Coturnix japonica: one gene and its partners. The protein of the gene in region 1 purifies or fractionates together with the protein of each later gene. This does not show direct contact. Links are inferred from orthologs where the notes say so. Each region holds a gene or a part of one and is shown in the gene's direction. Other genes may lie near its edges.

The links. Proteins that work in one complex are often made in the same cells at the same time.
Region 2: the proteins of CLK3 (region 1) and PSME3 purify together in Homo sapiens (affinity purification with mass spectrometry; 5 studies listed by BioGRID and IntAct, counting the BioPlex papers as one, with this or other methods). This does not show direct contact. The link is inferred for Coturnix japonica from reciprocal best matches to the Homo sapiens genes CLK3 and PSME3.
Region 3: the proteins of CLK3 (region 1) and TNPO3 purify together in Homo sapiens (affinity purification with mass spectrometry; 4 studies listed by BioGRID and IntAct, counting the BioPlex papers as one, with this or other methods). This does not show direct contact. The link is inferred for Coturnix japonica from reciprocal best matches to the Homo sapiens genes CLK3 and TNPO3.

The regions. Positions count from the first base shown.
Region 1 is NC_029525.1:1,795,892-1,801,061, reverse strand, and holds part of CLK3 (dual specificity protein kinase CLK3), read left to right. Parts: intron 1-1,273; coding exon 1,274-1,367; intron 1,368-1,637; coding exon 1,638-1,704; intron 1,705-2,387; coding exon 2,388-2,504; intron 2,505-2,854; coding exon 2,855-3,021; intron 3,022-3,450; coding exon 3,451-3,545; intron 3,546-3,880; coding exon 3,881-4,010; intron 4,011-4,113; coding exon 4,114-4,196; intron 4,197-4,667; coding exon 4,668-4,747; intron 4,748-5,000; coding exon 5,001-5,091; intron 5,092-5,170. UniProt on the Homo sapiens protein: Dual specificity kinase acting on both serine/threonine and tyrosine-containing substrates. Phosphorylates serine- and arginine-rich (SR) proteins of the spliceosomal complex.
Region 2 is NC_029542.1:4,666,805-4,671,010, forward strand, and holds the end of PSME3 (proteasome activator complex subunit 3), read left to right. Parts: intron 1-8; coding exon 9-121; intron 122-303; coding exon 304-372; intron 373-821; coding exon 822-889; intron 890-1,033; coding exon 1,034-1,088; intron 1,089-1,351; coding exon 1,352-1,438; intron 1,439-1,945; coding exon 1,946-2,026; 3' UTR 2,027-3,701; downstream 3,702-4,206. UniProt on the Homo sapiens protein: Subunit of the 11S REG-gamma (also called PA28-gamma) proteasome regulator, a doughnut-shaped homoheptamer which associates with the proteasome. 11S REG-gamma activates the trypsin-like catalytic subunit of the proteasome but inhibits the chymotrypsin-like and postglutamyl-preferring (PGPH) subunits.
Region 3 is NC_029516.1:719,995-723,744, reverse strand, and holds part of TNPO3 (transportin-3), read left to right. Parts: intron 1-413; coding exon 414-570; intron 571-1,467; coding exon 1,468-1,635; intron 1,636-2,279; coding exon 2,280-2,392; intron 2,393-2,809; coding exon 2,810-2,870; 3' UTR 2,871-2,906; intron 2,907-3,750. UniProt on the Homo sapiens protein: Importin, which transports target proteins into the nucleus. Specifically mediates the nuclear import of splicing factor serine/arginine (SR) proteins, such as RBM4, SFRS1 and SFRS2, by recognizing phosphorylated SR domains.

The DNA.
Region 1 (5,170 bases):
ACGTTGGTTCTTTTTAACCATGATTACAATTAAGCGACCGAGTCCTGATCCCTGCAGCTACAGTGAATATCTGCATGGCTTGGAACTCCAGACAGTCTGTTGCTTTTCTCCTCTCCCTCCTTTCCCATTGACTTCTTAATTATTGCCTTAGAAAGAGCCAGGGCTGTGACTAAAATGTTACAGTGTGGTTTGTGTGCAGTGATCCAGCGTTCAGGTTTGGGTTGATGTGATCTGAATTCTTTGAAGTCTCACAGCTCTCTCTCAACTGTCCTCTTTCCTCTCTACCTTCTCTGTTTCAGCTTACCTATGGGGGTCTGTAGCTTCTCATTTTGGACTGGGGCAAGGGGGTACAGAAGACAAGCCTGATAGAAGTCCAGGCATGGAAATGTAGAGCTTTGTTTCCATTCTTAAGGCTAAATGGAAAAGATCAGGAATTAGGACAGCTCTCTTTGTGGACCTGGTCCTTCTGGGAGCATTTGGCTGGTTGTCCAGTAGAAGCTAGAAGTAGCAGGAGTAAATGTGACCTTGTACCTGTAGTAGACACTTGGAGTGAAATGCTCCTTGGGGATCTATTTGACCTGTTCCTAAAGTTCTTCCAGGCTTAAAATTACACCCTAAGGAAAAAGAGCAATGCTAGATCTGCCTGCAGCCAGTCAGGCATAGAGATGGAGGATCAACCTTGTTAAGAAGTGGCAGGATGCTCTGAGGACCCGTTAGCCAAGGTATAAGAGAGCAGGCTGGGTGCTGGGGACAACTGCTACTCTGGCTTCTACTGGGCAGCCTGTCCAGCTCGTTTACGTGTTTGACAGCAGAGAAAAATGACGTCCTTCTGGCAAAGCCCTCCTCCTCCTCCTCCTCCTCCTCCTTGTGCCTCTGGGGCCTTCCCTGGTGCCCCTGAGGGTGCCACAACTCAGTGCAGACCCTGGGGGAGCGGTGGTGCCGAGCCAGTGCCTGGAGCTCCCCAGTTGCTGCCCTGCAGAGAAGAGGGGGGCCTTTCCCTGCTCAGGAGAGGCTGTAGCTAATGAGAGTTTTCTTTACATACCTGTAGCTGTTGATGACTTTTCTGTTTTGAAGTTAGTTTTGTGTCTTGACGTGTCCCTTGCAATATCCCTATCGTTATATATGCTGTGTGCCTTATGAAATGCTGGGATCTGGAAAATCCAACCACCGACGCACCGTCGTCTCCACCTTTGAATGACAACCCAATCTGCCACTCGGAACTGCCCGCTGTGCGCACTTGGTCGTATGCCGTTTCGGGGGGCGGTGCGTACAGAGAAGCCAACAGAGCAGTAAGCGCAGCAGGAGCGTGGAAGATGACAAGGAAGGCCACCTGGTGTGCAGGATCGGCGATTGGCTTCAAGAGCGATGTACAGCCACCTTTCGTAAAACTTTACCTCTACTTTCTATCCCCGTGTTAGACCAGATCTCTCTGATTGTACTGGAGGGGTCTCCTAGTGTTTTATTGCTTATAAATGGACCGAGCAGTAAATTGCCTGAGGCAGCCAATAGCCGCTTGAGTTTTAAAGAGCGTAGCAGTCAGAGACGTTTTTGTTTTGCCACTTTATTGCTGTGAATTGCAGGAGCTCAGCTCTCAGTGCTCCCCTCAAGTTCACACCTGCTCCTGTTTTCTCTCCTAGATGAAATAGTCGGCAGCCTTGGAGAAGGCACTTTTGGCAAAGTCGTGGAGTGTGTAGACCACGCCAGGTAGGCGGCTTCCATTTCCGAGTGCCTTGTCTGTCCGTCGTGCTGTAAACCCAAAGCCTCGTGATGGTGGCAAGATTGATGCTGAGAGCTTCAGCACAGGGCTGCTCTACTGCCCTACTGTAAAAGCAGGGAACTCCAGGGCTGGGCCAGCCAGATGGGAAAGCAGCCTCTTAATCTGCCAGGGCGCTTCTTTTTTCGTCCTCTCCTGTGATTACATTTGACCCCGATCTCTTCCCAACCTTTCAGCTGGCTCTGAGCCCCAGGGTCAGCTTAACGCGGGAGCTGCTGGGATCTCCCTCCTTCTCAGGCGCAGTTGGAGAGAGGAGGTGTCTGCTGGGGTGGCAGTGACCTCAGGGACTGCTGGGTCAGGACGTGGTGTATTTGCAGAGCTTGCTGCAGCTCTCTTCAGGGTGTTACTTGAGCCTTTCACTTCAAATTTCTGCGGGTATTTAAGCACTTGTCAAGGTTGGGGCAAGGACAGAACATCTAATCTCTTACCCTGCGACCTCGCTGCTTTCTGTGTGCTATCACTAACTCGTCCTGTGCTTGCTAAAGGCCGTCTCCTTCTCGTGCTTGTTTGTATTTCTTAGTATGGGCCCTAAAGGCTGCTGCACGGCCCCATGGAACACAGATAGCAGGCAGTACCAGCTTTTGCTCTGACTCCTTTGTCTCTTCTCTTACAGAGGCAAATCGCAGGTGGCACTGAAAATCATTAAAAATGTTGGGAAGTACCGTGAGGCTGCCAGGCTGGAAATCAACGTCCTGAAGAAAATCAAAGAGAAGGATAAGGAGAACAAATTGTAAGTTTGGAATTATTGCTGTCCTAGGAGGGGAAACCTGTCTTATGCCTCCATGTTTTGGAAGAAGAGAGCCTAATTGTGCTATAAACTTGTTTATTGAAATCTTAACAGCTGACATGCTGGGTTAGAGTGAGGAAAAATTAACCACAACTTACTCTGACACGAGAGTCAGAGTATTAGAGATCTTAATGTAAATGTGGTTGAGCGAAGTGGAGAAGGGGTGTGCAAATTGGATTATTGTGCTTTCAAGTCAGCTGGCTCAGAGCTTTTGCTTAGCAACAGTTGGGAGAATTACTGTATTGCCGAGTCTCTGAATGATGCTTAATCCTCGTGTCTTCTTCTCTGTACAGCTTGTGTGTCCTGATGTCGGACTGGTTCAACTTCCACGGCCACATGTGCATTGCCTTTGAACTTCTTGGCAAGAACACTTTTGAGTTCCTGAAGGAGAACAATTTCCAGCCATACCCTCTCCCTCAGATCCGGCACATGGCCTACCAGCTCTGCCATGCCTTGAAATGTGAGTCACACAGGGACAGCCGCTGGAGCTGCCAGCAGCTGCTTGTCCTCCAGTACCTGCTGGTTTTGCTTTTACAGAGTATTCTGGCTCCTTTGCTGAAGCTTGTAAGAAAGACAAGAGATGCTGATTTCTGTGGACAGCAAAGCAGGGATGGAGTGGTAGTCTATAAATTTGCTTCCTTTTCCTTCTGATAGGAATGGAAGAGAGCCTTGTAAGCTCTTCTGTGCCTCCTCTAGCAGAAATACTCAGTCCACAGTTAGGCCACCATGCCTCATCAAAATGGGTTGGGAGGGAGGCGAGGAGTTGCCTTACATGAAGATGTCCAGTACATGACTGGACTTGATGCTCTGATGGGCACAGCCCTATGAGTGCTTTGGTTTGTGGTTCTTACATGTTTTTTTTTCCCTCTCTTCTTCCCCACCTGTGCAGTTCTACATGACAACCAGCTGACTCACACTGACCTCAAGCCAGAAAACATCTTGTTTGTCAACTCTGACTTTGATACTCTGTACAATGAGAAAAAGGTGAGCTATGTCTGAAGTGACTAAACCAGGCACAGCCTGCGTCTCCCTCCCTGCAGAAATGAGATCTTCCCTGTCCTGTATCAGTCCTGTAGAGCCAGGCCTCTTTCTCCCATGTCTTTTAAGAGCCTTAAGGCTTCAGTGGCTTCAGTCCACAGCAGCAGTTCAGCAGCTTTCTGTGACAGTGACATGAGATGTAAATATCTCAGAGCTTCATAGTTGTCATTGTTCTGGTTAAGAGTGTGGACTACACAGTTCTAGGGACAGAGGGCTCCTTGGAAAGCCCACCTCAATCCCCCACCAGCTATTAAGAGCACTGAGGATTTGTTTGCTTGCAGAGCTGTGAGGAGAAATCCATCCGGAACACGAGCATCCGCGTGGCAGACTTTGGAAGTGCCACCTTCGATCACGAGCACCACACGACTATCGTGGCTACCCGGCACTACCGTCCCCCAGAAGTGATCCTTGGTGAGTGCTGCTGAGGCTGTGGGAGCCTCAGTTCCATTAAGGAGGTAGTGGAAAGCTGCTGGGATTTGCTGGGAGCACAAAGATAGCTTTATTCTCTTTGCAGAGCTGGGCTGGGCACAGCCGTGTGATGTCTGGAGTACTGGCTGCATTTTGTTTGAGTATTACCGTGGCTTCACGCTCTTCCAGGTATGACTCTTGCTAAAGGTGTTGGACCCTTTGGCCAAAGTAAGCGTCCTTAATGCCTAAACAGGCTAGAACTTAGGAGGGGGGCAAAAGGCAGACCAGGCACTAAAAGGTCAGAAACTAAGTTTGAAGATCAGCACAGGAAAACTGCAGTTTGAGTTCTCATGGCTTGCTGGAAGGACGTTCACTTCTGGTTTCTTCACTGTGCCTGTGGAGAGTAGGAAAAGCAAGAGAAGCAGCAGATGGATGGGGCCTGCACCCTGTTGTACTAAGGGATGTGGTTTAGTGGGAAATATTGGTGGTAGGTGGATGGTTGGACTGCGTGATCTTGGAGGTGTTTTCCAACTGTGGTGATTCTGTGCTTCCAGAATTCTCTTTCTCTCTCCTTACCCTGTGCTTCCGTAGCAGACAGACCTTTCATCATCAGATCTGCACGCTCTGAAGTAACGCACCACTGCTTTTTTTCCCTTGCAGACCCATGAGAATCGTGAACATCTTGTGATGATGGAGAAAATCCTCGGGCCTATTCCATCTCACATGATCCACAGAACTCGGTAGGAACCCATCCCTCAGCTCTAAAAGACCAGTCAGCTGCTGGTGGTGGCTCATTAGTCAGGACATCAGCTCTCTGTTCACACACCAGGTCTTACCTCTGTAGGTGTAAGCATGGGAAACCTGCTGCAAGTTTTGGTTTTGAGCCTGATCACAGGTTTTAGGGGAAATGATTGAGTCTTGTCTTTCAGTCTTACTGGCTGCTGTTCTGTTGTGTGGGTAAGACTTACTGAACGCCTCTTTCCTCCTCTCCAGAAAGCAGAAATACTTCCACAAAGGGAACCTGGTATGGGATGAGAACACATCCGATGGGAGATACGTCCAAGAGAACTGCAAGCCACTGCGGGTAAGTGCTGCTGAATCCCTGTGGGGTTCCCTTCCCGAGATCTGTGCTGGGGGGAGGGCAGGAGGTACAGAGCCCCAGA
Region 2 (4,206 bases), on another chromosome or scaffold:
CACTGTAGGTACCAAAGTATTTGTGATGCCCAATGGGATGCTGAAGAGCAACCAGCAGCTGGTGGACATCATTGAGAAAGTGAAACCAGAGATCAGGCTGCTTATCGAGAAGTGTAATACGGTGGGTGTGGGCCACAGCCCTGAGTTCTGGAGCAGATGGGGGCACTAGAATACTTTTGCTCCTTTGCTTGTGTGAAGGTTCTCTGAGAAAAGGAGCAGGTTCCTCTGTATTTTATAAATGACAGTGGTATGAATCCTGTAAAAATCTTGACAGTGATCTATATAGTGATCTTTCTATTGCAGGTCAAAATGTGGGTGCAACTTCTAATTCCCAGGATAGAAGATGGAAACAACTTTGGTGTTTCTATTCAGGTAAGATATTGTTGGCTATGTTGTGGTCTTGTATTATAGTGTGTTATCTTGCATTTTGATATCTGATGTAGTAAATTAGTTTGTTTCTCATCAGACTGTTGCTGTTTTCTTTTAAGGCCCATCTCTCTACCCTTCTCCCCTTTTTTCCCTTTTCCCTTTCCCAGGGTGTGGGTCTGTGTGTACTGCTGCCCTGCTAGTTACGGAACCGGGCTGAACCAGCCTGTAAACCACTGACAGGCTGTATGCCCTACTGTGGCAGGGAACTATGCCCCCAAGAGCATGTACCTTTAGGTTTCTTCCAAATCATTTGATGGTATCCAATGTCTGCAGTGGTGGAGTTGGTTTAGGTTTTAAGATCCAAATCTAAGCTTGACATGGAACTGCTACGACCTGGTACTTCTAGAGCGGCGATGGGCAGTTTCAGTATCATGAAAAGGCTTCCTTTGCAGGAGGAAACAGTTGCTGAACTTCGAACTGTGGAGAGTGAGGCAGCATCCTATCTGGACCAGATTTCTAGGTATGAAGGAACAGAGCCCTTTCTGGGAGTGCTGCTGGGAAAAGGAACCTTTTGGGGAAGGTCCTCCAGCTTTGCTGGGGCAGATTGTGCCTGGAAGAATCTTGGTACTGTTTGTCTGATTTGTAGTCTCCATTTTCCTAACAGATATTATATCACAAGAGCCAAGTTGGTTTCCAAAATAGCTAAATACCCTCATGTGGTAAGTAAATGGGGAAGTGGTGCTTTACAGTTTACATGCTGTTGCTTTCTGGGACTCTTCAGGCTACTTCATCACTGTCTTAATTTTGAGCTAGGGGCCCTGTGGGAAAAGGGGGGGCTATATAAGAATATGCAGAATATCTTCATTAGAGAAGAGGAAACTGAAAGGGGGGATTCCTTTGTAAAAGGTAGGACCTTCAGTTGATACCATGTATCAAGCACACCTGAGCTCAGGCCTCTTAGCCATGCATCTGTTTTCTGCAGGAGGACTACCGGCGCACAGTGACAGAGATTGATGAGAAGGAGTATATTAGTCTGCGCCTGATCATTTCAGAGCTGAGGAATCAATATGTAAGTGAAAAAACAGAGCTCTCACTGGCTCCCCACATAATAGAAAGAGTCCTTTTGATCCTTCTACTGCTCTCCTCTTTCCCTATGATTACAGCTAGTCCTGGAGAGAAGCCTATCTTTTCCCCAGTCTGCTTTGGCTCTAACAAGAGCTAAGTGTTTATTGGCTCCCCACCATCTCCCAGAGATGTGGATGTTTCCAACTTGAGTATTCATGGGAGCTGAGTGCAAAATATTCAGTACACTGCTCTAGGAGCGCTGCTGCAATCCTAAATTCTTCAGGCAGTACAGACCATTCTTTTGATGTCTTCTCTTTTTTGTATTGCACACATTAGCTTCTCTAAAGTGTTGCGGAAGAAAGCACTTATTTTAAGCAGAAATGTGATTGCAGGCAGGGGTTGAAAGTAGTACCAGGATGAGCTGTGAAACTGTTCAAGTCAGTGGTTGTGAAACCTGAATGCTAAGTGACATCCCCCCTTCATTTCTGAGTTGTGTTCTCCCTTTTTGCAGGTCACTTTGCATGACATGATCCTTAAAAACATTGAGAAGATCAAGAGGCCTCGGAGCAGCAATGCTGAGACCCTTTATTAAGTGTCAACGTTTGAACTTGAGAACTGTTCAGTCAACTAAAGACCGTCATTGCCTTGGTTTGTTACATGACTATCGAGATGGGAAACTGGCTGGAAATAGTTTTGCATTCTTAGTTAAAATCTAAAGAAATTATCACCTAGTTTTGTGATTGGTTTTATTCAGGTCTCAGGAGCTCTCCCTCCCTCTAGTATATCTGGTAAAGAAAAAGGCCTTGCTGCTTTGGGATGCCCTAGAGGCTACTGCAGAGTGAGAGCAGAGCGCCAGCCAGGCAGGAACATTCCTTCATGCCTTTCTTCCTACCTGAGTAGGAGCTACAGTAGAGATCAGGCCCTTGTCTTGTCCCATCTCTTGGCTGGAGACTTCTCTGTGGTCTCTGTGAATGGGGCAGACCATCTTCAGCTCAAGACTAAGCCTGGATGGTGGTGCAGTGGCTGAAAGCCAGCTCTCTTCACTGCTGGCTGCAGCTGAGCCCCTCTGCCTATGCTCTGCACTGACTTATTTGCAAAGACAGAGGATCCTGCCCCTTCTGGGTTGGTGGCCACAGCCACGTTGCAGTGCCACTGAGAGGCCTGTAATCGTTTTGTGGCTTTTTTGACTCAGTAGAGCGTGGCCCATCTGTCTCTGCCTTGGTTCTGAGCGGGTCAATGCAGAGCTGAAGGTTGTGCTTGTCACTAGGGCTGATTGCTGTACTGGCTGGTTGTGAGCGCATATGGCTTCTGCTCCAGTCTGCAAATTGACTAGAGCCACTTTCTTGGTTAAAACCAACTTCATGGGAGTCTTCATGCCTCCTTGGTATGAGCTGCTTTTGCCCAGGCTGAGAAAGGAGGAGCCAGAGGTGTGATGCTAAACTCCTGATAGCTTCCATGTGTGGTCAGACTGCAACCTGCTTTCTCCTGGCAGTGCTTCCTGCTGTCCAGGCGCAGCAGGCCAGCTGTGACAATAGTGCTTGGGGTGAGGATGGCCAATTCCTACCTGGTACCGTTGCAAACCTTGTATTCTTTCCCCTGCAAAAGAGCACCCTTGTGTGCCTATTGACTCCTCTAAGCTGCTGGAACATTTCATGGTCCATTACAAACCCCTTTGGAAATGATTGGTTGTGTTGCGTCAGTTTTTGTGTGTGGGAAGTGATCCCATAATGCTGCAGGCTCCAAATTTTTTATTTATAATATTTCTACTTAAGTCCCATATTCAGGGAATGTTAAATCATTTATTTCTGGAACCTCACTGTTTCCCAGGTCTTGTTGTTACACCCATATATTCTTATTGTGCAGTAGCCTTAATAGTTGTGTTAACTTCATTGTAACAACAGTGACAAATGGAATGAAATTTCTCTCCTTTTTTTTTTTTTTTAAAACTATTTTTTTTCTGCTTCCACCTCTAAGAGCCATGTTGTCTCTTGCTGGTTTCCTAGGGATTTCCCCAGAGTGTGGAGGGCCACCAGCCCTTGCTGTAGACTCTTCTGTTGTTGTTTGTAGTAAGTCAACTCTTAGTCTTCCCGCTAATAAATATTCTGTAACAAACCAACTGCGTTGTAGCTGCTGTCCTGGAGCAGCACTCCCCCTTGTGTTTCTTTGTATTGATTTATTTTAATTTGTTGAGCTCTCCTTGCCAGATGAAAGTATGTAAACTTTTACCATGTCAAGAAATTAAAATAAGGTACTTTGAATTCTTTTAAGACAGCCCCTTGTCTGTGATACTGAGCTCTGCAGTGTTGGTGTCTGTTCTCGGTCGTGCATTTCACACATCCAGTGGTTCCTTCCATTCGTTCTCCTCATTCTTTTTGACTTGATACTGCTATGTGTGTGCTGCTTTGTAGATTGTTTCTGTTCCTTCAGCATACTTTATATTAAGCACAAGGGCTTGAATTTGATGAGATCTGCCCTGTTCTTGCCTTTTGTGTTGTACTCAGGCCATCTTGGCTCACTCAGGTACAACTGATTTGCATGATGGTGTTCTAAGAGCTGCAACCCACTCCACGGCTGCTCTTGCATCTGTGCAGAGCAGATGTGTGCAGTGTCATAGGACATGCATCTGAATGTTGTACCTGACACGTGTATTCAGTGCATGGTCCATTACTCTCTTGATGTTACTGTGCATGCAGTACAAAGGGGACATGGGCTAAAGCATCCTCAGCGTTACCCAGAGGCGTGCTTTTGTTCTCATTCCTGTTCCTCAGCACA
Region 3 (3,750 bases), on another chromosome or scaffold:
CGTGTCTAACTGTCCCTGCATACCCATGTCCCCGCATCTCCATGTCCCCCATTTCCTGCATCCCCATCTCCTTTTTGTTTCCCTGTCCCACATGATATCCCCATAACATGCTGTCACCACATCCCCCTGACCCCATGTCACATTATATCTTCCTATCCCTCTCCCCAGAACCCATTGTCCCCTGTCCCAATGTACCCATATCCCCCCGTCCTCACCCCCTTGCCCCCCCCATCATATCCCCCCATCCCTTTGTACCCATACCCCCCTGTCCCATTCTCCCCACATCATATCCTTCTGTCCCCATGCTCCGCCCGTCCCCACACTCCATCCCCATGTCATATCCCCACACTCTCCTCTCCCTGTACCCCCCACCCCCCTTCCCCCCGCCCCCGTGGCACTGTCCCTGTCCCCAGGTTCATCCAGCGCAGCCCGGTGACGCTGCTGCGCAGCCAGGTGATGATCCCCATCCTGCAATGGGCCATCGCCGCCACCACGCTGGACCACCGCGACGCCAACTGCAGCGTCATGAAGTTCCTGCGTGACCTCGTGCACACCGGGGTGGCCAATGATGTGAGTGGGGTGGGATGGGGGGAAGGGGACAGGGAGCCGAGATTTGGGGTTGAAAGAGAACACGGGGAAGGATGTGACGTTGGGAGAGAATGTGGGGTTGGGTTGGGATGTGGGATTGTAGATTGATGTAGGTTGAGAGGGGATGTGGGATTGAGTTGGGAGAGGATGTGGGATTGGGAGAGGATGTGGGATTGGGAGAGGATATAGGTTGAGAGGGGATGTGGGATTGAGTTGGGAGAGGATGTGGGATTGGGAGAGGATATGGGTTTGAGTTGGAAGAGAACATAAGGTTGGATTGGAAGAGGAAGTGGGATTGGAAGAGGATGTGTGGTTGGGAGGTCAAAAGAGGATGTAGTATTGGGAGAGGATGTAGGATTGGGTTTGTTGCGGTTGTAGGGTTAGATTTGGGACTGGTTGGGACATAGGATTGGGGTAAGAGAGGAAGTTGGGGTTGGAGGTGATGTGGGTTAGGGTTAGAATTTTGGGGTTAGGGTTTGGAGATTTGGGGATGGCATGATGTGGAGATGATGGTGGGTTGGGATTGAAGATGGTGTGGGGTCAGAGATTTATGGCTAGAAATGTAGGGTTAGGGAGTGAAGGTTTGAGGTCAGTTTTAGGGTTAGAGTAAGGGTTAGAATTGTGGGGCTGGACTTGTTTCGGGCTCAGGGTTTGGGTTTTAGGATTAGGTGAAGATAAAGGTTTTAGGGTCAGGGTTTTAGGGTTATGGTTAGCATTAGGGTTAAGCTTAGGGTTTTAGGCTTAGGGTGTTAGGGTTAAGATTAGGGTTTGGGTTTTAGAGTTAGGGTTTGAAGGTTGTGGTTTCTGGTTTGGGGTTTTAGGATTAGTGTTAAGATTAGGGTTTCAGGCTCGGGATCCTCATACCTCATCCCCCTGCAGCACGAGGAGGACTTTGAGCTGCGCACGGAGCTGATAGCGCAGGTGCTGCGGCAGCTGGGGCAGCAGCTCGTCTCGCAGCTCCTGCACACCTGCTGCTTCTGCCTGCCACCCTACACACTGCCTGACGTGGCCGAGGTGCTCTGGGAGATCATGCAGAGCGACCGCGCGGTGAGCACACGTCACCATGTCCCCTCTGTCCCCACAGCCTCACGTCCCCTCTGTCTTCACAACCCCATGTCTCCAACATCCCCATGTCCTTGTCCCCATATCCCCAGCATCCTCACGCTCCTTTATCCCTGTGTCACCCATATCTCTGTATCCTCACATCCCCCAGATCCCTGCATCTTTGTGTCCCCATGTCCCCCGCATCTCTGTGTCCCCATGTCCCTATACCCCTAGCTCCTCCACATTCCCAAATCTCAGTGTCCCCACACCCTCATGTCCACCAGATCTCCATGTCCCTATATCCCTATGTTCCTCACATACCCATGTCCCCAAGTCCTCAATGGGCCTGTGTCCTTGCATCCCCCCATCTCCATATCTCTGCAGCTCCACATCCCTGTGTCACCACATCCCTGTGTTTCTATATCCTTTATGTCCCTCACATCTCCATGTCCCTGCTTTCCTGTATCCCTATATCCCTACTTCTCTGTGTCCCCATGTCCCCACATTCCTGTGTCCCTACGTGTGCCCACATGTCCCTGCATAACTGTGTCACCCACATCCCTATGGTGTCCCCATGTTCCCCCATCCCACAGAGTGACCCAGGGGGAGCACAGTACCCTCCTCTCACTTTTCTCCCCTCCCTTCAGACCTTCTGTCGGTGGCTGGAGAACTCCCTGAAGGCACTGCCAAAGGAGACGACAGGGGGGGCCATCCAGGTGACGCACAAGCAGCTGACAGATTTCCACAAGCAGGTGACGAGGTGAGAGCCCAGAGACCCCAGTTAGTGCTGGGAGCCTTGCTCTCAATTAGTGACCAGAGTCTGGACCCCATTATCTGATGGGACCCCAGACCTCAATCTGGGATCAGAGCCTGGACCCTGATATCTGATGTGACCCTAGACTCCAATATCTGATGGGATCCCAAACCCCAATTTGGGATCAGAGCCCTGACCCTTATAACTGGTGGGACCCCAAACCCCATCTTGAGATGAGATCCCATACCCTGGTGTCTGATGACCACAGACTAAAATTTGGAATCAGAGCCTGGACCCCAATATCTGATGGAATTGCAGACCTCAGTTTGGGATCAGAGCCCACACCCCAGTATCTCATGGGACCCCAGCCCCCTATGTGTCCCTGTGTGTCTCCCACCCCTCTAACACCTCCTCCCTTTGCAGTGCGGAGGAATGTAAGCAGGTCTGCTGGGCTCTGCGGGACTTCACACGCCTGTTCCGATAGCCTGCGCCCTGCACCCGGCACGGCGCCTGCTCCCAGGTAAGGCAGAGGAGACCAGAGGCCACCATGGGGGCAGCAGACCCCCAGGGGCATTGCTGGGGCTGGGGACATCACATTGGGATGGGGGAATTGTGTGGAATTGGGTTGCATTGGGGACATCATGTTGGGTTGAAGACATGGCACACTGTATTGGGTTGAGGACACTGTTGTATAGATTCAGCTGGGGATGTTGGACTGGGGACATTGCTCTGGGATGGGGATATTATGCTGTGTTGGGGACATGATACTGTGTCGGGGACATTGATTTGGGTTCATTTGGGGACATCGTGTTGGGATGGAGCCATCAAATTGGGTTGGGAACATGGCACTGGGTTGAGGTCATTGTTCTAGGTTCAGCTGGGGACATCACATCAGGTTGAGGTCATGGGCCTTTGTTGGGAACATTGTGCTTGGCTGGGGATGTTGTGTTGAGTTGGATTGGTGACATGGTGCTAAGTTGGGGTGGGGATGTTGTGCTGGGTTGGGGGGCCTGGTGCTGGGTTGGATAGGGGACATGGTGCTGGGTTGGGGACATTGTGCTTTATTGGGGACAATGTTCTGGGTTTGATCAGGGACATTGCATTGGGTTGGGACATGGCACTGTTGGGTTGGAGGACATCATGTTGGGTTGGGGACATTGGGTTAGGTTGAGGACATTGAGTTGGGATGAGTTGGGGACGTGGTGTTGGGATGGGGACGTGGTGTTGGGTTGGGGGCATCAAGTTGGGATGGGGATGGGGTGTTGGGTTGGGGTCATCAAGTTGGGTTGGGGACATGGTGCTGGTTGGGGACATGGTGCTGGTTGGGGACATGGTGCTGGTTGGGGACATGGTGCTGGTTGGGG